3 linked regions of the Pelodiscus sinensis genome follow. The protein of the gene in region 1 interacts with the protein of each later gene in a biochemical or structural test. Links are inferred from orthologs where the notes say so. Each region holds a gene or a part of one and is shown in the gene's direction. Other genes may lie near its edges. The genes, in order: RAB11A, RAB11FIP4 and RAB11FIP1.

Region 1 (8,142 bases):
TGGACAAGATACAAGAAGGATAAGGACAGTAATGCCCAGGAGGGTTTTAGGAAGTACGGAGCCCAATTCGAACCATTTCGACGAGGTCCCGGCAGCCAGGATTTTTTCTTGACACTCACCAAAAAAATTAATAAAATAAAAAATAAAAAATACACATACAAAATTTTGGTTGAGCCAAAAAAAAAAACCCAAAACCCAACAAAAAAACAGCGCACAGAAAAAAAAGTCACAGTCCCTTTAAATCTCCACCTTCCCACCAAACCCTGGGCCCTGGGGCCAACTCACTCGTTCTGCGGTGCACAGAAGCCAGCCATGCCAGCACACTGGCGTGGGGCCCAATTTGGGGGAATCGGGCGAATCAGCCTAAAGCTGGCCCTGGTAATGCCAATGCACCTCATCCCTAGACTGCTGAATTCTCTGCTATTCCAGTGCTGAAGTACATACTCATCAATAATGTTACTACCCTTCATTACCTATATGAAGTATCCCATATAATTCAAACCTGGCTGCCTTCAAACCTATGTCAATGCTCCTTGTTCTTGGTTTGCCACACTTCCTGCTATCCCAATCCTGTATGCACCTTAGTCCTGGTAACTTTCTTGCTCAGGGGTAGGGAAAAACACCCTCCACTCAGAGTGCAGCAAGTTACAGCCCTGTAAAGCTGCAGTGTAAACGGGTTCCCAGCACTGTTAGCTAGTACCCTTAAGGAGGTGTTTATCCATGACCACACTGTAGTGACAGGACTTTAAACCTGAATGTATAGATGGGGATTGATACTGCAATGATTGATCCACCAGTTGTCGATTTATTATGTCTGCTTAGACATGATAAAGCAATCCATGAGTGCTCTCTCATCAATGCCAGTATTCCATCAAGACAAGAAAAGTAGCTGGCATCTTGGGAAAGCAACCCCTACTGACCTTACCGTACACTAGACGCCATAGTAAATACATCGACTTCAGTTATGCTGCTTGCGTAGCTGAAGTCACACACATTTGATTGATGATGGGGGTTAGTACAAAAAAGGCCAAAGCCTTAGATTGACATCATTCTATAGCGTGGACATTCCCTCAGGAATAGGTGCCTAATTGGTGGGTTCTCCAGAGCTCAAGCACACACAGAAAAAAAATAGAGGGTGCTCATCACCCACTAGCCCCAGTGATTCTGGCCTTGGGACTGGCCACTGATCAGCTGTTTGACAGCCCCAGGGCTGGCCGCCAATGAGCTATTTGTCAGGTGGGAGATGCTTGGGGGAGAGGAGGCAGAGAGGAGGGAGTGGCAGGTTGGCTCAAGGGAGCGGGCATAGAGAGGGTGGGAAGAGCTGGAGCTAGGGCGGAGGGAGAGGAGAGCCTGTGGGAAGAGGCAGAGCATGGACAGGGCCTTGGAAAAGGGGCAGAGTGGAGTGGGAGTCCTGGGGCAGACCAGGGATGGAGCACTCACAGGGAAAAATGTAAATCACCTCTTGTGCCCTGCGGCACCGAAAGTAATCTACCCTGCAATAAAAGACCTGAGAGTGGCACAGGATAACAGCCTTGAGTTTGCAGGGCTCTGACATTACAGTGTAGAACCTAGGCTCTATGATCTCATGAGGCAAGTAGGCCTCAGCTCCCAGGCATCTACAATGCAGTTTTCAGTCTATCAGCCTGAATCCACAGCCTGGTGTCTGAGCTATGCAGTTTTCACTGCAATGTAAACATATCAGAGGAAACTAAGTGACACGCAAGGTCACAGAAGCAGTTTGTGGTAGACCAAGGAATGAAACCTAGATCTCCTGAGGGCTGATCTAGTGCCCTTATTATAGAGCATCCTTCTTCTTTAATGGATGAACTATTATGTACTTTATTTTATTGCAAATCAATGGCTCCACTCAATCTTTTATTTTCAATGTTTCAGTGTTATTTTCAATGTTCGCATATTGGTGTGAATTTAACAGCATGTTCTTAAATAAACAAAAGATTCCATTAAGGGTTTCTTCTTATCCCAATGAATGGTGCTTGATATTCATAGTTCTCCTTAATGCCGGTGGGCTACATTTCTATAAAGTGAGATCAGAACATTCCCCTTAATTATGCAGATGTGTAACCGATCAATTCCACTGCCAAAAGCAATCTTGTGGAAGAACAAATTTTAAAGGCTCCAGTTCAATTATATGGCCACTAGTATCATTTTAACTCCTCACATCTTGGTTTCAATACTGTGCCATGGAGGTCAATGGCAAAGCTCTCACTGACTTCCACAGAATTGAATCCAATCCCTATGAAATAAGAATTTCAGGGATTGTACCCAAGTGTCATCGCTTTACATTAGACAGTCCTTAAGCAACACTCATTCTCCCAACAGCATTTTTGGATAAGTGCTCAAAACAGCTTTGCTCACCTGTGTTTTTTCTGATCCCGTGGTAAGAGGGACATTGTGGTACCAGATTTTTATTCACATCATGTAGGACACATTCAAAGCTGTTTCTGCCTTAGCCCAAGCGAATGCTTGAGTATCTTCTTCTGCTCCCTCCTGCTAAATGAGTTTCCCCCTGCCAAGCAGAACTTTATGACCTACTTCTCCCTCCAACAGTTTTTTTTTTCAGGAGAAAGACTAGATGTAAGATCTTCAAGACTAAAGACAGGGTTTTCAAAAATCTACCCAATCTTTGAACTGAGGTGATGTGAAGTGGAGCACACTGACTGTTCATTTTGTTCCCAAATAGCTCTAGATTTTTTTAACACTCTCTGTGGACACAGCACATTTCCAGAGATCCTCACACACAAGGCTCAGTCCTACTTGCTTTCCTCTTCAAGCCCCCACACCATGAGCCCTCCTCGACATAGTGAACTCTTTCACAGACTGGAGTGGTAGTTTACCTTCACTGCCCTTGCTGATGTGATAGTTCTGCCAAGTCCTGGACATCTCACTGGAGACTCCTACACATGGAGACCATTTTCTTCAGTTGACTGGGTAGAGTCCCATGCTTGGTCATACCTAGAGTACAAAATCCACCGTGTAAAACTCCTATGCCAAGTTGTTCACACCCTGTGGCCAATGAGTTACTTATGTGTTAAGCAGTGGCGGGCAGCCTGTGGCCTGCGTGTGACCCATGGGGTTCTATGTGTGGCCCATGAGACATTTTGTTTACTGTACTCCATGCACAGTTGCCAGATTCTGCTGGGTTCCATCTGCATTAGTTTTTTTCCTTCCTATTACTAAAGTGACACACAGAGCGAGGGCATGTGAAGAGGTGCATGCTGAGTGCATGCAACATTGACTGAGAGCTGTGCGCTCCCTGTACATCCACTCAAAATGCTGCTACAGTTGAATCAGCACACCATGCAAATTCTCCGAATGCAAGCACAGCTAGCAAAACTACCCTATCCTAGGAGATGGTCTTGGTTATGACAGTCTTTCTGCCCACTAAGATGAGAAGGGCCACTCATGCAGCCCACTCACTGACTTAGGATGCCCATCACTGATGAAAAGCATCCAGAGCGCTTGGTAGTCACAAGGCCAAAGAAAGTTACGTAAAAGATTCACATTTTTAATTTGTCTTTCCCTAGCAATACTTGTATTGCATGGATCCGGGTTATCCTAAGCACAGGGACTCAAAACTCCAGCTCACCATTGATTTGCTTGTAACTTGGCTACTTTCAGCCCCACTCTGTGCTTATTGCTGAGAGGTTTGTGAGCCTGATTGAGTCTCCTCGCTGCCCTAATTCAAGGCTGCTCTTTGCAGGGAGACAGCTGAACAGTTTTACAGGTGTCTCCTCCTAAATATTATTCTACACCGAATGATCCTGGTATTAATGATTATTAGTGTAACAGAAGAACTCTACTCCTTACTGGTTATTGCAGGGGTGTCCAAACTTTTTTCAAAGAGGGCCAGATTTGATGAAGTGAACATGCGTGAGGGCCGACCATTTTGCCTGACATTCTTTGAACCATTAAAATTAAATGCAAATTAACTATTTTATGCAAAGTTTATTGCAAACGGCATACTTTTCATTTCGTCACATGGATGACAAATCTAAACAGGTGTTAAATCACTCTGCCTTTCATATCTGAAGGCCAGATGAAAAAAAAATCCAGGAAGCTGAAATATGTCAGGAACATTGTAAAGTACATTGCATATTATTGGTAATAAAGGTTGTCTGTCAACTTTTAAGTTCCAAAAATATGAACAGGAACATAACACCAAGTATACATGTTGTGTCCAAATATATTTATAACTGATTTAGACCAACTGACATTAACTGAGATTTTACAATGTATTCATCTCAATACATATGGATTCGTTGGGGGCCATAAAAGATAGATATTGCCAAGTTACCTGGGGGGCCGTATTAAACCGGAACACGGGCCGCAATTGGCCCGCGGGCCGGACTTTGGACATGCCTGGGTTATTGCAACCAATAACTCCCAAAGCACTTGGGCTGGGTAAGGGACCACAGAGATCCAATAAGAATTAATGTATTTGTATGGACAACAATTAGATCTCTCGGGGAAAAGAACAGTGCAATGCCAGTAGGACAGAGCGGGAGGGTCCCACCTGCAGCTTGGAGAAGGGCGAGAAAAAAAAAATTCAGGTTCCACCGAGATTTGAACTCGGATCGCTGGATTCAGAGTCCAGAGTGCTAACCATTACACCATGGAACCGCCGTGGCGAAGTAGCGCCCGGGCGGGCTCTCGTTCTTGCTGCGGTTGGGCGGGCTCCCGCTTGGCGGTTGGGGTCCCAGCGAGGGGAGCAGCCGGGGTGCGCCCCGCCTGGGTCTGTGGGGGGCAGAGCCGGGATACAAGGGGGGCAGCCGGGCCAGAGCTCCCTGTGGCCAAGGCTACGGGCCCATAGCGCGAGGGGCCGGGGCCCCGTGTGTGTGGCGGGAGCGGGCGTTACACCGAGCCCGTGACAAGAGCCCGGCACGCGCCTGCCCCCTGCGGCCAGCGGGGAGGCGGTTGGCGAGCGGTTGGCGAGGCAACCCGCCGCTCCCGTCGGTGGGCGGGGCCAGGGCGGCGAAGCTCCTCCCCCGGCCGCTGGGCGTGGTGCTCCGCGTGACCCCGGAAGCCGTTCGCCGGCGGGTGGGGCGCGAGAGCGGAAGTGCCGCAGCGGCTGCAGGGAGGGGTCCCGGCTCTGGCAGTGCGGCGGCGGCGGCTCCCGCTCTCTGGCTGCGCGCACCATGGGCACCCGCGACGACGAGTACGACTATCTCTTCAAAGGTGAGCGGCGCGCCCGGGCCCTGCCGCCCTCCGCGCCAGGACGGAGCCTCCCGCGGAGGGTTTCCTGGGGAGCGGTCCCCCAGGGCGTGGACGAGGTGGGGGGGGGGCGCCCCCCCGGTTGAGCCGGCCCCTCCCCCAGGCGCGGACTGGATATGGTGGGGGGCAGCATTGCCCCCAACTGGGTCCGCTCCTCCTCCCGAGGCGTGGGCTGTGTATGGGGAGGCACGTCCCCCCCCAACTGCCTAGCGGGGAGTGGGAGGAACAGCCAGCCCCCCCCCCAACCGGAGGTGAGGATGTGGGGAGGGGCTTATTCTCCCTCCCTCCCCCCATTGGGCTGGCTGCTTCCCTCGAAGCGTGGACTGGAAGTGGGGGGCACATTCCACCCCCCCAGTTGGGCTGGCCCCTCCCCCTGAGGTGTGGCCTGGATATGGGGGACGCAACATTCCCCCCAACTGGGCTGGCTCCTTCTCCAGAGGCATGGGCACATTCTCTCCTCCCCCTCCCCCTCCCCCAAACTGGCCAGCAGGGTGTGTGTGTGTGGGGGGGGGGGGGGAGGAGGAATATTTCCCTCAGCTGGACCAGCCAGCTGGTTCTCTACCCTGATGTATGGACTGGGTGTGTGGGAGAATAGCCCTCTCTTCCCCTCTGCCCCCCCCACTTCTGGAACCAAACTTGTAAAAGTGCAAGATGTAAGGGTGTTCCAGTCTTTGTCAGGTCCCTAAATTTGAAATATCTATTCCTGGATTTGACTCCTCTGTAATATCTTCTGACCTCACCCTACCAGCATCATGGAGTGGGACAAAACTTATCTTGTTGGTAATGTTTGTGTGTCCCAGCATTTGATTTTGGCTGAGAGGATGTTTTATCCTGTGTGAAGTGTATTCCAGAGGTTGCTTTGCTATAAAACTATTTTGGAAGCCATTTTTGTCATCATTACAAAGCAACCTCAGTGTCTTTAATTTCTCTAAGGGTTTAGTAAACCATGATCTTGGCTTTCTTTTGTGGGACAGAGGAAGTGGTTTGCAGAGGTGCTTGTTCCTTGATTTGATAGTGTAATAAGTAATTTAATGTTCAAATTTCAGTGTCTAATCGTATAGTCAAACTCTTAAGACTGAGACCTGCTATTTAGAGCCAACTGCTTTGGAAGGAGCCTTGTGTTGTCAGGTTCTTATTGCCCAAAGAAGGCTGAATACTGACCACTAAAGATGTAGCTCCAGAAACCCTTTTAGGTTGTCTTGCCTTGCAGAGTATTGTTTTAAGTACTGGACATGTGAGCTTTGTAAGGAATGACTATTTTTGGACATGCCTACTCTAAAATGACCAATTATAACTAAATCTTGGAGCAGTTTTAATATAAAACAGCCATCATGGGCTCTTTCAGATCTTCGTACAGTGCTACTGTTCACCTCTTGAACTAAGAACAGTAAATGTGTTGAATAAAAGTAACTAGTGATTGTGTAGGAGAGTAGTCCTATTGCAGTTCACAGGTTAAACAGGGTTATTTTTTATGCTTTTCCTGGTGTTGACATAGCCTAAGCACAACTACTTTCATGCAGTAGTAAATCTTGCATTACTTGCCTCATATTGTGGTGAATCTCTGCTCCAGTGGTTGTTGTAACCATTATCTCTCACTCACTGATCTCACTTCCTGTTTTGTCACTCCATAAAGTTCCTGGAAGATGAAGGAAAAAAAATTCCTTGTTTTCCAGGATCTGGGTGCATTTTTTCTCATTTTGGTTCAGCTAAGTTTTGTTAAAGATGCATCAGAATGTAGCAAATGGGCCCTTTAACATTTATCTTTCTGAAGAATGAAACAGCAGTTGTTGCAAATGTTCACAAGTAAGATGTGCTGAAAAAACACCTAGTGAAATGGTGTGCTGCAGAACACTCAGTGAAACTTTAAAGATATCACTTAAACCACCTATTTGAAAATATTTTAGATATAGCCACTTGCTGTAATACTATAATGAAAATCTGCATGTATTGAGCCTTGGATTTAAAATATTAGTTTATACCTTGTAATTGAAAAGCAGCTCTGAAATGTGTCACAGCATATAGAGGGATGGAACTCAAAAGGGAGAATGTAAAGGTTCCCTTCCTGCCCCACCTCCCCCCATATTTAACTTAAGTGAACTTTTGTATGTTCTTCCATTTAGAAAGCATCTTTTTGCTTTTTCCCATCATTAGAACCATCTGTCAGGGCAAAGGTATACAACAAGTAAAACCAAGTTAGGGAATCTGTTTACAGCAGCAATTGTTATCTGGCAAGGTTACAATCCATTTGCCTTTTGAATTGTAGAAAAGTATATCCAATGCTCTTGTCCTGGTTACACTTCTGTTTACACTGAATTATTTAAGCCACCATCTTAAATTACAAGCACTACAAAAATTGTATTATGTGGACATATTAAGGGATAAGTCTTCTGTATGGAAAAACAAAAAAATTAAATTTATATAAACTGGTTACATCTCTATTCCAAATGTTATCTCTAGAAGAAAGAAGTGAGCATAAGGGAGGTCTTACGGATGAGGACACTGAGTTCAATCACTTAGAGTAGCATGGATGATATTTTTTATTCCTCCCCCACTCCCCTTCCATTAAATCACCAGACTTTGCAGAACAAACATTGTAGATCCTCCTCGACAATGTCACAGGCTGCGAACCTTATCTCCAAATCTGTGTGGATAATGCTGGTGTTTAGGGTAGAGGCCCACCTAGAACAGAGTCACAAGTGAGTCAGAGGAGTTGTTGCAACTTGGCTATCTCCTGACTCTGTTCAAGTGTTCATTGTGAGACTTACAAAAGTTGGGTTTTATCATTTCTTGTTGTCCTTCATGTTCCTACTCAGCGTGTTGCCCTTCGTGTTCCTACCTTTGGACTGCCACAAGGACAGGATGGCTGAAGCTGCACTGCAGAAAGCAGATGAGATCTCTGATTTTCAGTCA
Region 2 (8,002 bases), on another chromosome or scaffold:
CTTTCAGATCTTAGTCCCTGACGCCCAGCATCCTGCTTCTGCCCTTCACATCTCAGCTCCCATGTGCTCTGCGCTGACATATCTGCTCCGGGATCTCAGCTCTAAGCTTGGCCGTCTGCAGTGACAGTTTCTTTACCGTACTTTGCCGCTCTCGGATATCGGCCTTCTTGCAGATTTCGCGGCACACCGGTTTTGCATGTCGGTGCTCAAACTCCAATTTTCAGCCTTAGCTTCCAGTGCTTCTTTGCAAATGTAGCTATGGCTTGGAACAAATATGAGACAGAGTGATCCAGTCATTGAACAGGCAGATTTAGTGTATGCTTCCCTATCTTTGCCAGTGCATAGCCACCCTGACTTGCAGCTCCCAGCCTAGAGCAAAAGAGACTGCTCTTTCATCATAGTAAAGGTGGAACTTCCACGGATGTCAATGAAGATTATTGCCAGAGAATAGTGATAGAAATGTAGCCGTGTTAGTCTGGGGTAGTTGAAGCAAAATGCAGGACAATGTAGCACTTTAAAGACTAACAAGATGGTTTATTAGATGATGAGCTTTCGTGGGCCAGACCCACTTCCTCAGATCAAATAGTGGAAGAAAGTAATTGTATCCTTTGGTATATATGGTTGTGACTACTTTCTTCCACTATTTGATCTGAGGAAGTGGGTCTGGCCCACGAAAGCTCATCATCTAATAAACCATCTTGTTAGTCTTTAAAGTGCTACATTGTCCTGCATTTTGCCAGAGAATGTGTTCCTTTGGGCTGATCAGGCACAACCAAGCATACCCATTTTTATAGTGCACTATGTAACACACACCAGTGCAGGCTAGGGTGCCATGTTGCAACTCATGATTGTATCACGATTGTTGTGCTATTTGGTGAGTTTTCTTAAGCTCCAGCTCCTAAAGTCAATTGCTTACAGGAGATGATCAGCTTTCCTATAAAACACAAGAAAGTCTCCACAAACTAATGGAATCTAAATTAGCTGTTACAGTTGAAGAAAAATCTTGGAGTCATTGTGGACAGTTCTCTGCAACCCTCTGCTCAATGTACAATGGAAATAAAAAAAAAATAACAGAATGTTAGAAACCATTATGAAAGGGATAGAAAAGAAGGCAGAAAATATCAGAAGCTATCAGTCCATGGTATGATGAACTCCAGTCATCTGAAGAAGTGGGCTGTGCCCATGAAAGCTCGTGATACCATCTACATGGTTTTTTTTTCTGTACAGACTAACTCGGCTAACCCCTGAAGTGTGGAGAAAATGAATGGACCTGGAAATGTTACATACCCTGTCACCTAACACAAAAACCAGGAGTCACCCAAAGAAATGAACAGGCAGCAGGTTTAAAACAAACATAAATAAAATACTCCTACACATAACACACTGTCAACCTATGGAACTCATGGCCAGAGGATGATGTGAAGGCCAAAAGCATAACAGTTCAAAAAAGCATTAGCTAAGTTCATGGAGAGTAGGTCCACCAGTGGCTATTAGTCAAGATGGTTAAGGGTGTGCAACCCCATGCTCTGGATTTCTCCAACATTTAACTGCCAGAAGCTGGATTTCTCCAACAGGGGATAGATGGCTTGATAATAGCCTTGTGCAGTTCATTCCCTCTGAAGCACCCAACTTGGTCATTGTCAGAAGATACTGGGTTAGATGGACCATTGATATGGCCCAGTCTGACTGTTTATACGTTCTAAATGTCAAGAGTTGTGGAGAAAAGCTTGAAAATGTGGCCCTAGGGCAGAGGTGGGGAACTTTTTTTAGGTCTGGGGCCGATGACCCACAGAAAAATCAGTTGGGCAGGGGGCAGCAGGGGCTTGAGTGTATCACGATTTTTCCGTTAAAAGCATTTCCGGAAAATCATGCCTGTTTAGACATAGCCCAGTAGTAGAGCTGAAATCCTTATACATTTTTTTAATGTGTCAGGTCACAGTACTTATTTAAAGACTGTCTTATGGAAACTGGAATTTTTAAAATAGGTTGCTTAAAGAAATACCAAGTTGGCAGTGTCTCTTTAATCCCTCCCCTCTGTCTGTTGCCCCTTCAAATTAAGGTGGCAGGCTGTGGGAAGCTTGCACTGCTTCTGTTCCTTACACTGTCACTGTTCTATGGATCAACATAAGACATCAACCCACAGGGCTGTCAAGCAGGTTTTCTTCCTGAACATCAAATGCACACACAAAGAGGATGAAGTGTGTGTTTGGAGAACCAAAACTTCTGGGGAGGGGGGAAATGTATGGCCCCTGGACCAGAGGAGGGAAGAATTTTGATGGGCTTCTTTCTATCATGGCATTTCCAGAGACATGAGGCGGAATGTGAGACCTTTGTTATTCTGTTTTGGGAAAGCAAGAAATGTATGAGATAGTGTTTTCATTTCAAAGCCCAGTGCTAAGTGTAAAATCTTTAGCACAGAGCAGTTTAAGGGAGCGGCCTTATTAACAGTCTGAAAAACATCACTCGTCAAATCACACAAGATGTAAAATGGAATATTTACAGGACCCAGGGCATAATTCAGAAAGAGGGATCCATTCTTTGTCCACTTCTTTGACCACCTAGAAAGCTTGTGGATATAGACTAGAAGGGCTATTTTAAGCCAGGAGGTCGGAGGGGCAGTAGCAAAAGGGTTTAATTAAGAAAAGATAATTTTACACTGAATCGTTATTCAGTGATGATATAACTTGCAATGGCAGGCGAGTCATTAAATGACTTGATCATGTCTGACTTATATTGCCATGCAATGTCCCCTCTTACAAACCAACACTGCTGCAAAATGTTTTTTGAGTAGCACAAAATCAAAGATGCCTCTATTCACTTTATCTGGAGCAGACAGGTGCTTGCTTTTGTTTGCCCTCTCTTTATCTTAGTCGCACACTTTCTTTTCATTTCCAGCTCTCCTCCATTTAATCTGATTTTTCTTTATTTTATATTCTACTGACTTCTAATACTGAACTCTTTCATGATACTTTTCAGCTGTGGAGCACAAAGCACATTACAAAGGAGGGCAAGTAGTATTATCCCAGTTTTACAAATTGGGAAACTGAGGCACAGAGGGAGACCCGGGTTCCCTGAGTCCCAATTCCATGTTATAACTGCTAGCGCATGACAATCCCTTTGCTATTAGTTATCTGCTTAGACTCTCAGCCGGTCTCCCTCTTTTTTTCCCTAGCCCCAGAAAATACTAACTATCTCCTCTCCCCTAGTTTTTCTTTGGCCAGTTTCCCTTCTTGCCCTGTGTACCTGGTGAGTGGCTGCTGTTGTTGTCCCCTCCTCCCCATTCATTTCATTTCTCCTACTTTTTTTGTTTTTGCCTTTCTCTTTCTTCTTCCCTATTTTGCCTGCCCCCTTCTCTCCCTCACCTCCTACCAATGTGATTTGCCCTTTCTTCTCTTACCAGATCCGGGGTAACTGAGAGCTTGGTTTAGGCCTCCTTGCTCCAGCTCCCATCAGCAACTACAGCAGCCTGACTCCACTGACCAGACAGTAAAGTGCAGCCCTGTGCCAAGGGGCACGAGCGGAGCCAGAGACCCCTAAGGAGGTGGCCGTGTCTCCTGCTGGTGCCTCTGTGCTTTTAGCTCTAAGGGATGGTCTCACCTGACTCCTCCCTACCATATTTGCTATCACTGGCTGTTCTCTCCCCATTCCTTCCCTTAGTTCTCCCTCTTCCCTGCCCTAAAACACCCTCCCCCTGCTCTGCATCCCCTCCCTTCTCACATCCCCCTCACCACAGCCCTGGTCCTCCCATTCCTGGTTCTCCCCTCCTTCCCCAGATCTTCCTCCTCTCTCACACACCCCCTCTCCTAGATCCTCTCCCCCCTTCCCCTCCCCATTCTTCTACCCCTTTCCTCTAGCATCTTCCTCCCCCCTTCTCCCTCTCCCCTCTCCCCTAGTTCCTACCTCCTCCTGGTCCTCCCCCTCCTCTCTCACATCCCCCTCTTTGTATCAGTCCTGGTTCTCCCCCTCTCTTGTCCCAGATCCCCTTCCTCTCCCACACACCCCTCTTCCATTCCCTCTGTTTCCCCCCTTCCCTTCTCCTTTCTTCTACCCCTCTCCTCTCCCACCTCCCTCCCCCTCCCCTCTCACACACACCCTCTCCCCTAGTTCCTACCTCCCTCTGGTCCTCCCCCTCCTCTCTCACATCCCCCTCTTTGCCTCAGTCCTGGTTCTTCCCCTCTGCTGCCCCAGATCCCCTTCCTCTCCCCCCCTTCCATTCCCCGTTTCCCCCCTTCCCTTCTCCTTTCTTCTACCCCTCTCCTCTCCCACCTCCCTCCCCCTCCCTTCTCACACACACCCTCTCCCCTAGTCCTCCCCTTCCTCTCTCACCCCCCCCTTGCCTCAGTCCTGGTTCTCCCCCTCTCCTGCCCCAGATCCCCTTCCTCTCCCCCCCTTCCATTCCCCGTTTCCCCCCTTCCCTTCTCCTTTCTTCTACCCCTCTCCTCTCCCACCTCCCTCCCCCTCCCTTCTCACACACCCCCTCTCCCCTAGTCCTCCCCTTCCTCTCTCACCCCCCCCCCCCCTTGCCTCAGTCCTGGTTCTTCCCCCTCTCCTGCCCCAGATCCCCCTCCTCTCCCACATACTCCGTCTCTCTCCTAGTTCCTCTCCCCTTCCCCTGTCCTCCCCCTCCCCTGGTTCTCCCCCTCATATTCTCCCTCCCCTCCCCTGGTTCCCCCTCTCCCCTCCCCCTCCTCTGGTTCTCTCCTCCCTCTCACACTCCCCCTCCCCCGGATCCCCTTCCTCTCTTGCACCCCCTCCCCTAGTCCCCTTTCTCCCAGCGCTCCCCCCCCCCCCCCGTTCTTTCCCTGCTCCCCCCCCCCCCCCAGCTGGCTGATGTCACACGCCGGCTGCAGGGAGGGAGGGAGGCAGGCAGCCGGCGATCATGGCTGCTGGCGGCCGGAGCCTGGCGCGGGGCTCGCGCTAGGTGCCCGGCATGGAGCCCGCCGGGCCCGGGGAACCGGCCGACTGGCCGCGGTTGCTGCGGAAGCTCAAGCAGGTCTTCGACGTGTGCGACGAGGATGCGGACGGCTTCATCCGCGTGGAGCATTTCGTGGCCCTGGGGCTGCAGTTCGGCCAAGGGGAGGAGGTGAGAGGGGCCGGGGGCGCGCCCAGACCCCGGGCTCGGGGGGTTGGTACCCGGGGCCGGTTTCCTCCATCGCCTTGGATCCCCCCCCCAGCTTCCCTCCCCCGCCCTGCCTCCTCTCCCCTTGCACCTGCAGCCCCCTCTGCCCTGGGCATCTCTGTCCCTTTGCAGCAGCTGGCACCGAGGCTGCCCCTGCAAGAGACCAGCGCTTCGCCTCCCCCGGGGCGCCCGGCGCCCGCAGGACCAGGCTGCAGCGGGCTCCGATCGCGGCGGAGGCGATTGCATGGAAATGCACTTTCTCCTGCAGCCTGGAGCAGACAGAGACACCCTCAGGGATGGGGCGGCTGTGACTCCAGCCCCCTCTCGCCCCCCGCGGGAGAGGGGCAGGTATGTGTGTGCAGCCGCCCATTTTGCACCGAAACCCTCTTTCTCTTGTCACTATGAAGCAACTTCACTGAAGTCTCTGCTTTGGAACACCCCACCCCCTTGCCAAACAGGTAAATAGGCCACGACCTACATGGCCTTCCATGGGAATGAACCCTGGAGCAGGGTGAAGCAGAATATAACCCAATATAATTTTTTTGGTCTGAATCAGACTGCAGGGCCAGGCTCCTGTTCTCTTGAGTTTATTTCCTACCCTGCTGTTTTGCCCTCATGCAAATAGCTCCCGTCTCTCATGAAACACCTGGGTATGACCTTGTTTACAAAGCTGGCCTTGCTTTGCCTTGTTTTCTAAGCAGATATACACCTGCTCTAGTGAACAGATGTGTGATGAGTCTGGGTTTCGCTGGTTTTTTGTTTGTTTGGCCAGGGCATGACTGTTCTAGTGAAAGGAAAGGTTTCTCTGGCCTGGTAACATTCCCTCCTTAGCTATGTGAACAATCTGAAAAAAGGTTCCATAGAGGAATAATTTGAAAACAGGCTCCATCAATTATGCAAACAAGATGCTCTTTTGAAATGGGTGCTTTTGATGCAAACCCTGTCACTCTGTTATGGGTCTGTCATAATTCCTTATACAAGTAAGTCTTGTTTGGCCTTCTTGGTGTTTAAAGAACACAGAGTACTTTCTGGAATGCTTTTGAAGATATTTAGCAGCATCACATTACATATTACTACAATGGAACACACAGAAAAGCTGTGAGTTAGAATTATGGGCCTATCATTGACTCAGGCATACAACTGGAGTCACTCCACTGGCTTCAATAGAGCCATAACTTCAGTGGAATCATTATCACTGCATTACATCAGTGTACAGAAGAGTAGAATTTGGCCCCATGTCAGAATAATTACATGCATTTCAATTGGAACAGTTCCTCTTAAATGATTTTGTAAAGAGAGAAATCTCAAACAAAATTAACCAGACATAAAATCTTGAATTTCACGATACAATTGCTCCCCTTCAGAATACGGTATTGCCTCTCTGAATCGCTACATAACAAAATGCTCTGACACTTGGAAAAAAAGGAGGCAGTGCCACAAAACAAAGCTGATGTCAGGATGAAAAGTTCTGACCTTTTAAAATGCAGCAAAACATTAATCTGCAGAGATTGTAACGAGAGATACGTTTATAAAAGAGATCCAGGGAGGTACGATAGTAGAAAAGCATAATGAATTCATAGTCATTGTCAAATGAAGTTACTAAATTTGGATTGGAAAATTGGTAATGGAACAAGACTTGTGAATTAAATTAAAGAAACAGGAGGCTCCATTTCTTGCATCTAATCACTGAGTTGTTTAATATTTCTTTAATGAGAGACTAGTGCTATTTTTCAGTTACCAGTAATATAAGGAGAAGAATGGACTAACAGGAGTGAGCTTTTTGACCTCTCTGTTTTTATTTGTCCATTGAAAAGTTATACATTCCTATATAAACAAAGGGCCTAAATTCTTAAATCCATATTGCAAGAAGCATTGTACTATGGGTGGTTTTTGTATTACTATATTTATTTCATTCTTAGATCAATAACCTTTTCTTGCTGGCATTTTGGAAGGCTTGTAAAATTCTCTGGCCTTTGTTTTGCTGGAGATCAGTCTTAGATGATGATGTTCTTTATGACTTTAGCATGTACGGAATCTATCAGGTTATTAGGAGTGGAGCAGGGAGAAAAATTGGAGCAAGCAGGTTGACTCATGTCTTAAAATGTCTTTATTTTTTTGTAGATGAATGTATTCGAAATATTTAGACGTGGAGACTGATGAATTAAAATATTGGAAAATTATAAACCGTGAATGGTTTATTCTAAATTTTTGGGAGGGACTTAGATGACTGACTAGGCGCCAGAGAAATAAATAATATGCAAATAAGAGATTAAATTACAGGCTGCAGCATATGTCTAGCTAAACAGGGTGAATGGTAATGAGAAATGCCCCGTAATCATCATTACATTCTTGTTAGTTGTAACTGACAATGTTTGAAAAATATACTTGCAAGAATGAGACCAAGGAATTTACCTCTGTGTAGCATGCATATTAGAACTTGTCTTAATTTGTCTTTGTATACATAGTCTGATCTGAAGCCAATTGTTGATGTCATTGAAAGACCCTTGTTGATTTTATTGGGCTTTGGAATTGGATCAAACCCTCAGTCCTTGATATGTTACATTTGTTGCTTTAAGTGGATCAAAGCAGAACTTCACATCTGAACTCCTTTAATTTTAGTGTGTTAAGTGCATGTGGATTCATGTCCCCTGCCTCTACAGTTTTGGTTCTGGGACAGCTCCTAATCCAGAAGGGTCAGTGCTAGTTTATAGCTTTGGTTGCTGCAGCTAAAATATTAACATTTGAGGCCAACATCGCATGAAACTAACGATCTGATTTCAGTGCTCTTGAATCTGCTGCCAAACCTTAGCCCTGATTCAGTCTGAACCACAACCTAACCTGATCCAGGTCATAATACTGCCTGTTCAGGTGCATCTCGAATTC
Region 3 (7,999 bases), on another chromosome or scaffold:
TGCTCCTCTAATGAATTGGCTCACAGAGACGTTCATCCACACCTGGCCTAGCTATTGCACAAGGGGCCATAAATAATAAAAACCTTTCAGTTTAAGGTCTGACCTATAAACCAGGCTATCTGGATCTGGGTGTGCCAGCGGGCAGGCCGGTTCAGGCTTTCACTAGCCCAGCTGCACGTATTTTCGTTCCGCGAGCAGCAATGCTAGGCTTGTTGTGCCTCGTGCTGAGGCCTCCCACCTTCCAGCCAAGCTTAAAGTTGGGGAAAACTCCGGAGCGTAGCCCAAACTCGAAGCATCACAGAGCCACGCCCCAAAAGGTGAACCCTCCAAGGCAGCACACAGGCATGCAAAGAGGAGGATGAAACGGATCCAGTGGGGCTCAGGGGGTGTCTTAGCCCAGATGAAAATGACACAAACATGGATGTTAATGCCAAAACCCATCTCACCGTTAGAGTCCCTTATCTCAGGTCTTCTAGCCGTGTGTGGCAGGTCGATTGTCAGCGGGGAATCACTCCACTCTAATGAGAGAAGGTGGGGGCGGGACTCTCTTGTATTGGACCAATTTCAGTTGGTGAGAGAGACAAACTTTTGGGCTTACACAGAGCAGTTCTCCAGGCCTGGGAAAGGTACTTAGTCTCAGAGTCACAGAACCCTAGAAATGGCAGGGACCTCGCGAGGTCATCAAGTCCAGTCTCCTGCCCTCCCGGTAGGACCAAGCCCTGTAGACCATCCCTGACAGGTGTCTGTCTAACCTGCTCTTGAATATCTCCAGTGATGGAGATTCCACAACCTCCCCAGGCAACTTATTCCAGTGCTTAACCACCCTGACAAGTAGGAAGTTTTTCCTAATGTCCAGCCTCAACCTCCCTTGCTGCAGTTTAAGCCCATTGCTTCTTATCCTAGCATCAGAGGCCAAGGAGAACAATTTGTCGTCTTCCTCCTTGAAACACCCTTTTAGGTACTTGAAAAGTACCCCTGGCATCGCCCCCCAGACTTCTCTTTTCCAAACTAAACAAACCCAGTTCTTTCAGCCTTCCCTCACAGCTCGTGTTTTTAGACCTTTAATCATTTTTGTTGCTCTTCTCTGGACCTTCTTCAATTTCTCCACCTCTTTCCTGAAATGTGGTGCCGAGAACAGGACACAATACTCCAGCTGCAGCCTAACCAGCGCAGAGTAGAGTGGAAGAATGACTTCTTGTGTCTTGCTCACCACACTCCTGTGAATGCAGCCCGGAATCATGTTTGCTTGTTTTGCAACAGTGTCACACTGTGGACTTATATTTAGCTTGCGGTCCATTATGACCACAGCTAAATACAAGGAGGAACTAATTGTTGAGCACAAGTAGTTAACACATATTTCAAGGGACCATTCAAGGTGGCATGGCCCTATAAACATTCATTGCAGTCAGAGGAAAGGAAGAGAAAGAGGAGGAAGAAGAATGTTGTTCCAATGGGTTAGAGATAGTTGTAATCAGCCATAAATCCAGTGTCCGTAGTCACAGTTCCTGATTTTTAATATCTAGGAAAGTTATGAATTTCAGCTCCCAGCTCGTCTTTTGACAGTATTGTGTAGATTTCACTTGAGGATGGGACTGACAGGTCAGGTGTAGAGGGCTCGCTTTCCTGTGTGAGTTCATTTGAGAGTGTTGTGGTTGTCTAGTTTCACCTCCATAGTCGCTATCGGGGCATTTAGTCTCCAGTGGGATGCAGCCCTGGCTTTATAGCCTCAAAGGGCCAGGAGATGGTGGACTCTAAAACTATAGACATTTGTATGTATAAAGCATCTGTCACTGGCTCAAGAATATCTCTTTCCCTCTGGGTCAGTGTAAATATGGGGAGAAATCCCAGGTGTGGAGAGAGAAGGACAAGCTGTATTTTCTCCAGTAGGAGAACTATTTTTAAATGGCTGCTCAGCCGTTTGGAATGTTGGAACGAGTCCTAGATCGTCAGATTAGCGGGCACTGGGCAGTGAGGCAGTCAAAGGTGTGATAAACTCATTTGTGGCATAGCCGTGCAATTTATCATCTGGCATCGCACGTGATGCTGTCTCCACCTATGCCACTGTCTGTTGTCAACTGTATATTGTGTGCCATGACACACTGGTCATCTGATATGTACCATTTAAATACAAAGGGTCTAATTGCATTTGCGATAGTTAAGGTTGTATCACAGTTGCTGTCATCACCCCATATTCATTTGATCATAACGAGCTACAACATTCAGCACTGGGCTGACAACTTCCATACTTGGTCTCTGCTGAAACAGTGAATTTATTTTTTCCCATGTGTGTTTATTATTTCAGTTCTGCAATCTCTTTATATCTAGGGTCACATGGAGAACTCAGGACACTTGACTCATGGGTCATGGGCCTGTTTGCATTACAAATGGGGCCTGGCATTCGTCTTTAACTGGTCACGTCCCCAAGGGGAAATTATTGGAAGACAAGGTAAACAAAGCATTAAGGATAGAAGTTCCAGGATGAGGGAAGGTGAATCCCCAGGATGTGTTAACTTGAGCCACTAAGGAAAACACTGGGATGCTTATTTGGGTGATGTATTGAGAAATCCTGGCATACTTTTTCCCTTCAAAAAGTTGTTGTTGTTTTTTACAGATGGAGACCCAGACGAACTGGTAATATCACAAGAGTGATATCTCAGCTCAAGAGAATGAAGTGAGCACTTGAAGTTTGTCGCTTTCCTGTGTGAGTTCATTCTAGAACTTTATGACTGTAGTTTCAGCCACATAGGTCCAGAAAAGGACAACAAAAACGATTCGGGATTTGGAACGGCTGCCATGGGACGAGAGATTAATGAGACTGGGACTTTTCAGTTTAGTAAAGAGGAGACTAAAGGGGGATATGCTAAGGGTCTATAACATCATGAAAGTGAACAAGGAAAAGTTATTTACTTGTTCCCATAACATAAGAACTTAAGGGTCACCAGATGAAATTAATAGGTAGCAGGTTTAAATCAAACAAAAGGAAGTTTTTCTGCTCACAGCGCACAGGCAACTTGTGGAACTCCTTGCCAGAGGATGTTGTGAAGACCAAGTACTAGATAAATTCATGGAGGACAGGTTCATCAATACTTACTAGCCAGGATGGGTAGGGATGGTGTCCCCAGCCTGTTTGCCAGAGGCTGGGAATGGGTGACAGGGGAGGGATTTCCTTGTTCTGTTTGTTCCCGCTGGGGGATCTGGCATTGGCCACTTTGGGAAGACAGGACACTGGGCTAGATGGACCTTTCATCTGACTCAGTCTGGCTGCTCTTATGTCCATAGTAGAGAAATGTTCCAAAGATTTACTCCTGCATTAGCAAGATTAGGAGCTGTAGTGGAGGTAATGTTCCTGTTTTTAATACTCAGTTAATCTCCTCATAAGAACATAAGAACGGCCGTACTGGGTCAGACCAAAGGTCCAGCTAGCCCAGTAGCCTGTCTGCCAACAGTGGCCAGCACCAGGTGCCCCAGAGAGGGTGGACCGAAGACAATGATCAAGCCATTTGTCTCCTGCCAGCCCTCTCCAGCCTCTGACAAACAGAGGCCAGGGACACCAATTCTATCCCCTGGCTAATAGCCTTTTATGGTCCTAACCTCCAGGAAATTCTCAATGCAAGACTCAGTGCACCCATCTGTGAGCATGCACAAGGAGTGACTACAGAGCTTCTTACTGGGGAACTGTGGTTAAGGGAACAGGTGAGATCGTTGTTTACCAACTCCTGTAAATGAGTAACCAGTCTGATCCTCACCCCGCCCTGAAAGCATTACACTGATATGAGCCCAGCACCGAAACTGCAGAAACCACCTTTGCGTTCCGCTTCTCTCTGGGCAGAACAAGGCTTCCTGGTGTAAAACCGTCAATTACGGAAAAGGGGAAGGGCACCAAAGGAATGAAGCTTCTAGTGACCTGTAAAGCTCAGAGGTCACTCCTACATTTGCAGCTTTTTCTTGTATAAAGCCAGAAAACATGGCAGGGTATGTTGAGGGTGAAAAGATGGTTTTGACTGATAGAATCACAACGCTCCAAGCTGAGATACTGTACTTGTGATTGTTCAGAAATCCTGCCAAATAAACACCAGCCTCCCTTGCCTGGGGGGCCTGCCACTCATTCTATGTTCCTGTGGGAATGGATTGAAGGGGGCAGTGGGAAGGTGGCTGTGGAGAAGGGGGGGTCGGAAGGCGGCTGTTTGAAGGGGGCAGTGAGGGGGGGCTGGTCACATGTCCAGGGCACTTGGAGGGCAGCTGTTGGAAGGGGCACTTGGGGGGCAGCTGTTGGAAGGGGGCAGTTGGGGGCGGCTGTTGGAAGGGGCACTTGGGGGGCAGCTGTTGGAAGGGGGCAGTTGGGGGCGGCTGTTGGAAGGGGGCAGTTGGGGGGCGGCTGTTGGAAGGGGACACTTGGGGGCGGCTGTTGGAAGGGGGCAGTTGGGGGGCGGCTGTCTGCAGGCTGGGGCAGTCCAGCGGGCCAGGTGTTACTGAGATGGTGGCTGCTGACGGGTGGGCGCTACGCAGCCCCAGAGGAGCCCTGACACCCGGGGGTGCTGGTTTGAAGTGAGACTCCCCCAGCAGGGAACCGTGGGTGCCTTGGCCCCACCCACCACCCCTCAGGAAGCCTCTGCCCCGCCCCCTTCAGCCCCACCCCCTTCTCTGCCCCGCCCCTCCCTCTGCCTCTGCTCATCTCCCCCTCTGCCCCGCCCCCTCCACCTGCCTCTGCTCCTCTCGCCCTCTGCCCCGCCCCTTCCATCTGCCACTCAGCTCCCCCGCCCCTCCCCCAGCTCCGCCCCTCCCACTTGCCTCTCTGCCCCGCCCCTTCCCTCTGCCTCTGCTCATCTCCCCCTCTGCCCCGCCCCCTCCACCTGCCACTCAGCTCCCCCGCCCCTCCCCCAGCTCCGCCCCTCCACCTGCCGCTGTGCCCCGGGGCGGCTGGAGGCCGGCCCGGCTCTCGCGAGATTTGCGGCGCGGCCTCGCCGGCGCGCGGCGCGCGGGTCAGTCAGTCAGTCAGTCAGTCAGGGAGCGCGCGGGTCAGTCAGTCAGTCCGCGCTCGGTCTGTCTGTCGGTCTGTCCGCCATGTCGCTGGCGGGCCCCGCGCCGCGCTGGGCGCCCACGCACGTGCAGGTGACGGTGCTGCGGGCCCGGGGGCTGCGGGCCAAGGGCGGCGGCGGCAGCGACGCGTACGCGCTCATGGCGCTGGGCAAGGAGCGGTTCGCCACGTCGGTGGCCGAGCGCTGCCTGGGCGCGCCCGAGTGGCGGGAGGAGGCCGCCTTCGAGCTGCCGCCGCCGCGCCGGCCGGGCGCCGCCGAGCCCCGCCTGCAGCTCACCGTGCTGCACCGCGCGCTGCTCGGCCTCGACAAGTTCCTGGGCCGCGCCGACATCGGCCTGGCCGCGCTGCTGGACGAGGGCGGCCGCCGCAGCACCCGGTGAGCCGGGGGGGGGAGTGCGCCGGGCCCGCCCCGCCCCGCCCTAGAGACCCTCTCCCGGGGGGGTGCGCCGGGCCCGCCCCCCACCGCCCCGCCCCCCCCGGGGGTATCCGCCCTAGAGACCCTCTCCCGGGGGGGTGCGGGCCCGCCCCCCACTGCCCCGCCCTAGAGACCCTCTCCCGGGGGGGTGCGGGCCCGCCCCGCCCCTCACCGCCCTAGAGACCCTCTCCGGGGGGGTGCGCTCTGGGCCCGCCCCCCCGGGGGTATCCACCCTAGAGACCCTCTCCCGGGGGGGTGCGGGCCCGCCCCCCACCGCCCCGCCCTAGAGACCCTCTCCCGGGGGGGTGCGCTCTGGGCCCGCCCCCCCGGGGGTATCCGCCCTAGAGACCCTCTCCCGGGGGGGTGCGGGCCTGCCCCGCCCCTCACCGCCCCCCCCGGGGGTATCCACCCTAGAGACCCTCTCCTGGGGGGGTGCGGGCCCGCCCCCCCACCGCCCCGCCCTAGAGAACCTCTCCGGGGGGGTGCGCTCCGGGCCCGCCCCCCACCGCCCCGCCCCCCCGGGGGTATCCACCCTAGAGACCCTCCTGCACGCACGTCCCGCCCCCCGGGGGGGGGTCTGACTTCCCCTCTCCCGGGGCGGCCCGGGTTAGCCCGTGGGCCCAGGACACCTCGGACACGTTGCCGAATCGAGAGACTCGTGGGCAACCCTCCCCCCCCAGATGTGGTGGAGAAAAAAAGTGGGGGCCCCATTATGTAACCGGAAAGGAAAGGGAGGGAGTGGGCAACCCCCCCACCCACCCCCAGATGTGGTGGAGGGGAAAAAAAAGGGGGGGCCCCGTTATGTGAAAGGAAAGGGAGGGAGGAAAGGTAACTTTAAAAATGAGTGGGCCTGTGGCACTTTGGAGACCCCCCAAAAGTGTGTGCGCGCACATGTATAAATCTTGCAACAGGATCGGTTCCCGGGGAAGCGTTGCAAGTTGGGGACGTCCTCATTCAGACCCTCATTTACGGCATGCGCCGTGTGCCATCGTAAATGCGGGCTGAGGACGTAAGTCGGGGGGTTTCGGCCCCTTCTACACTTACAACTGTTTCTGTAAGTGCAGAGGGGTTGGAACTCAGGCGGTCGCAAGTCAGGGACCTCCTGTAGATAGATTTATGGAAGTTAGGCCCATCAGTGGCTATTAGCCAGGATGGGTAGGGATGGTGTCCCTAGCTTCTGTTTGCCAGAAGCTGGGAATGGGTGACAGAGGAGGTATCACTTGATGATTCCCTGTTCTGTTCATTCCCTTTGGGGCATCTGACATTGGCCACTGTCGCACACAGAACATTGGGACCTTTGGTCTCGTCCAGTCTGGCTGCTCTTCTGTTCTTAGGAGCTTTCATGGGTAAAACCCACTTCATCAAATGAACTGGAAGCCAAGTGAGAGAGCAAACCAGGGAATATACACTTGAATAACAAGGAGAGAATCCGAGAAATAGGGGAGCTGTACATCAGCTGAAATTCTCCTGTGTGTTTTTGGGTAGGCAATGTTTCTGCTATTCCAGGGGTTCCCAACCTTTTTCAGTCCCCGTACCCCCTTGGCTTTTAGTAAACCTTCCTGTACCCCCTATTCAATATGAAAGGAAATAAATTCTAGACTCTAGAATCCACAACTTTTTTCACTAACACTACTACTTTTGGAATATTTCAATTAGGACAATCTAGTTATTTACCAAATATTCCCTGTACCCGCTAGACAAGCTTCTCGTACCCCCTGGGGGTACGCGTACCCCAGGTTGGAAATCCCTGTGCTATTCCATGGCAAAGTTAATCTGAATTTGGCAGGTGAGAGGAAGCCAATGGCTTAGCAAGTGGGTAAGGAGAGAGGAAGCTGTTGACATCGAGAGGGAGTGGAGAGCAGTTTCAGATTGCAGGATAAACACTTGAGCAGGTGTTTATGAAGTAATGTTGACATGGAAGTTGGATGTCATGAGGCATCTAAATTAACGTGCCAGTGTGATGAATAGGAACAAATTATGTATCTTGGCTATATTACTGGAAATTTTGAGACAGAATCCGCTCTGCTTCTTGTGGATTTGCGTGTAATGATTCTTTCATGAGGGCTACAAATTTTTTTTTTAATTTAAAGCTTGGATTTAGGAGCATAGATGGTCAATTTGTGAAAAGACAAAGATATGGATTGATTGATTTGAAGGAAAATGATTTTTTAAAATGGCATTCTGAGACTTGATGTTCAGCTTCAAGTACTTTTCATCATATTCTTCCATTTATAAAATGAGAAAATGTTTTTCTGGCTCCTAATACTGCAGAATCAGTGCACAAAAAAGAGCCTATCACCAGCAGAAGGCTCTGCAGGTCAAATCAAGCCATGAAAGCACGTCCCTACAAAACAAAGTGTTCTGTACAGTACATTGGTATGTTTGCAATACAATTTACTTTCTTTGCAAACGGACATAGATAGGATCTCTGTGTCCCTTTTTATATGAGTGCCCGACACAGTTTGAATCCTGTGGGTCGAATCATACCATCCTTAAGGATAAGTGGGAGGATGAACAATGGAGTTCACAATAGGAATGAAGATTAATGT

Evidence for each region.
Region 2: the proteins of RAB11A (region 1) and RAB11FIP4 form a complex in vitro, tested with the Homo sapiens proteins (2 studies listed by BioGRID, with this or other methods). The link is inferred for Pelodiscus sinensis from reciprocal best matches to the Homo sapiens genes RAB11A and RAB11FIP4.
Region 3: the proteins of RAB11A (region 1) and RAB11FIP1 form a complex in vitro, tested with the Homo sapiens proteins (2 studies listed by BioGRID, with this or other methods). The link is inferred for Pelodiscus sinensis from reciprocal best matches to the Homo sapiens genes RAB11A and RAB11FIP1.

Annotation. Positions count from the first base shown.
Region 1 is NC_134724.1:5,321,818-5,329,959, reverse strand, and holds the start of RAB11A (ras-related protein Rab-11A), read left to right. Parts: upstream 1-5,058; 5' UTR 5,059-5,156; coding exon 5,157-5,196; intron 5,197-8,142. UniProt on the Homo sapiens protein: The small GTPases Rab are key regulators of intracellular membrane trafficking, from the formation of transport vesicles to their fusion with membranes.
Region 2 is NC_134730.1:18,980,727-18,988,728, forward strand, and holds the start of RAB11FIP4 (rab11 family-interacting protein 4), read left to right. Parts: upstream 1-4,870; 5' UTR 4,871-4,930; coding exon 4,931-5,083; intron 5,084-8,002. UniProt on the Homo sapiens protein: Acts as a regulator of endocytic traffic by participating in membrane delivery. Required for the abscission step in cytokinesis, possibly by acting as an 'address tag' delivering recycling endosome membranes to the cleavage furrow during late cytokinesis.
Region 3 is NC_134738.1:15,051,780-15,059,778, reverse strand, and holds the start of RAB11FIP1 (rab11 family-interacting protein 1), read left to right. Parts: upstream 1-4,976; 5' UTR 4,977-5,061; coding exon 5,062-5,411; intron 5,412-6,231; exon of another isoform or gene 6,232-6,931; intron 6,932-7,999. UniProt on the Homo sapiens protein: A Rab11 effector protein involved in the endosomal recycling process. Also involved in controlling membrane trafficking along the phagocytic pathway and in phagocytosis. Interaction with RAB14 may function in the process of neurite formation.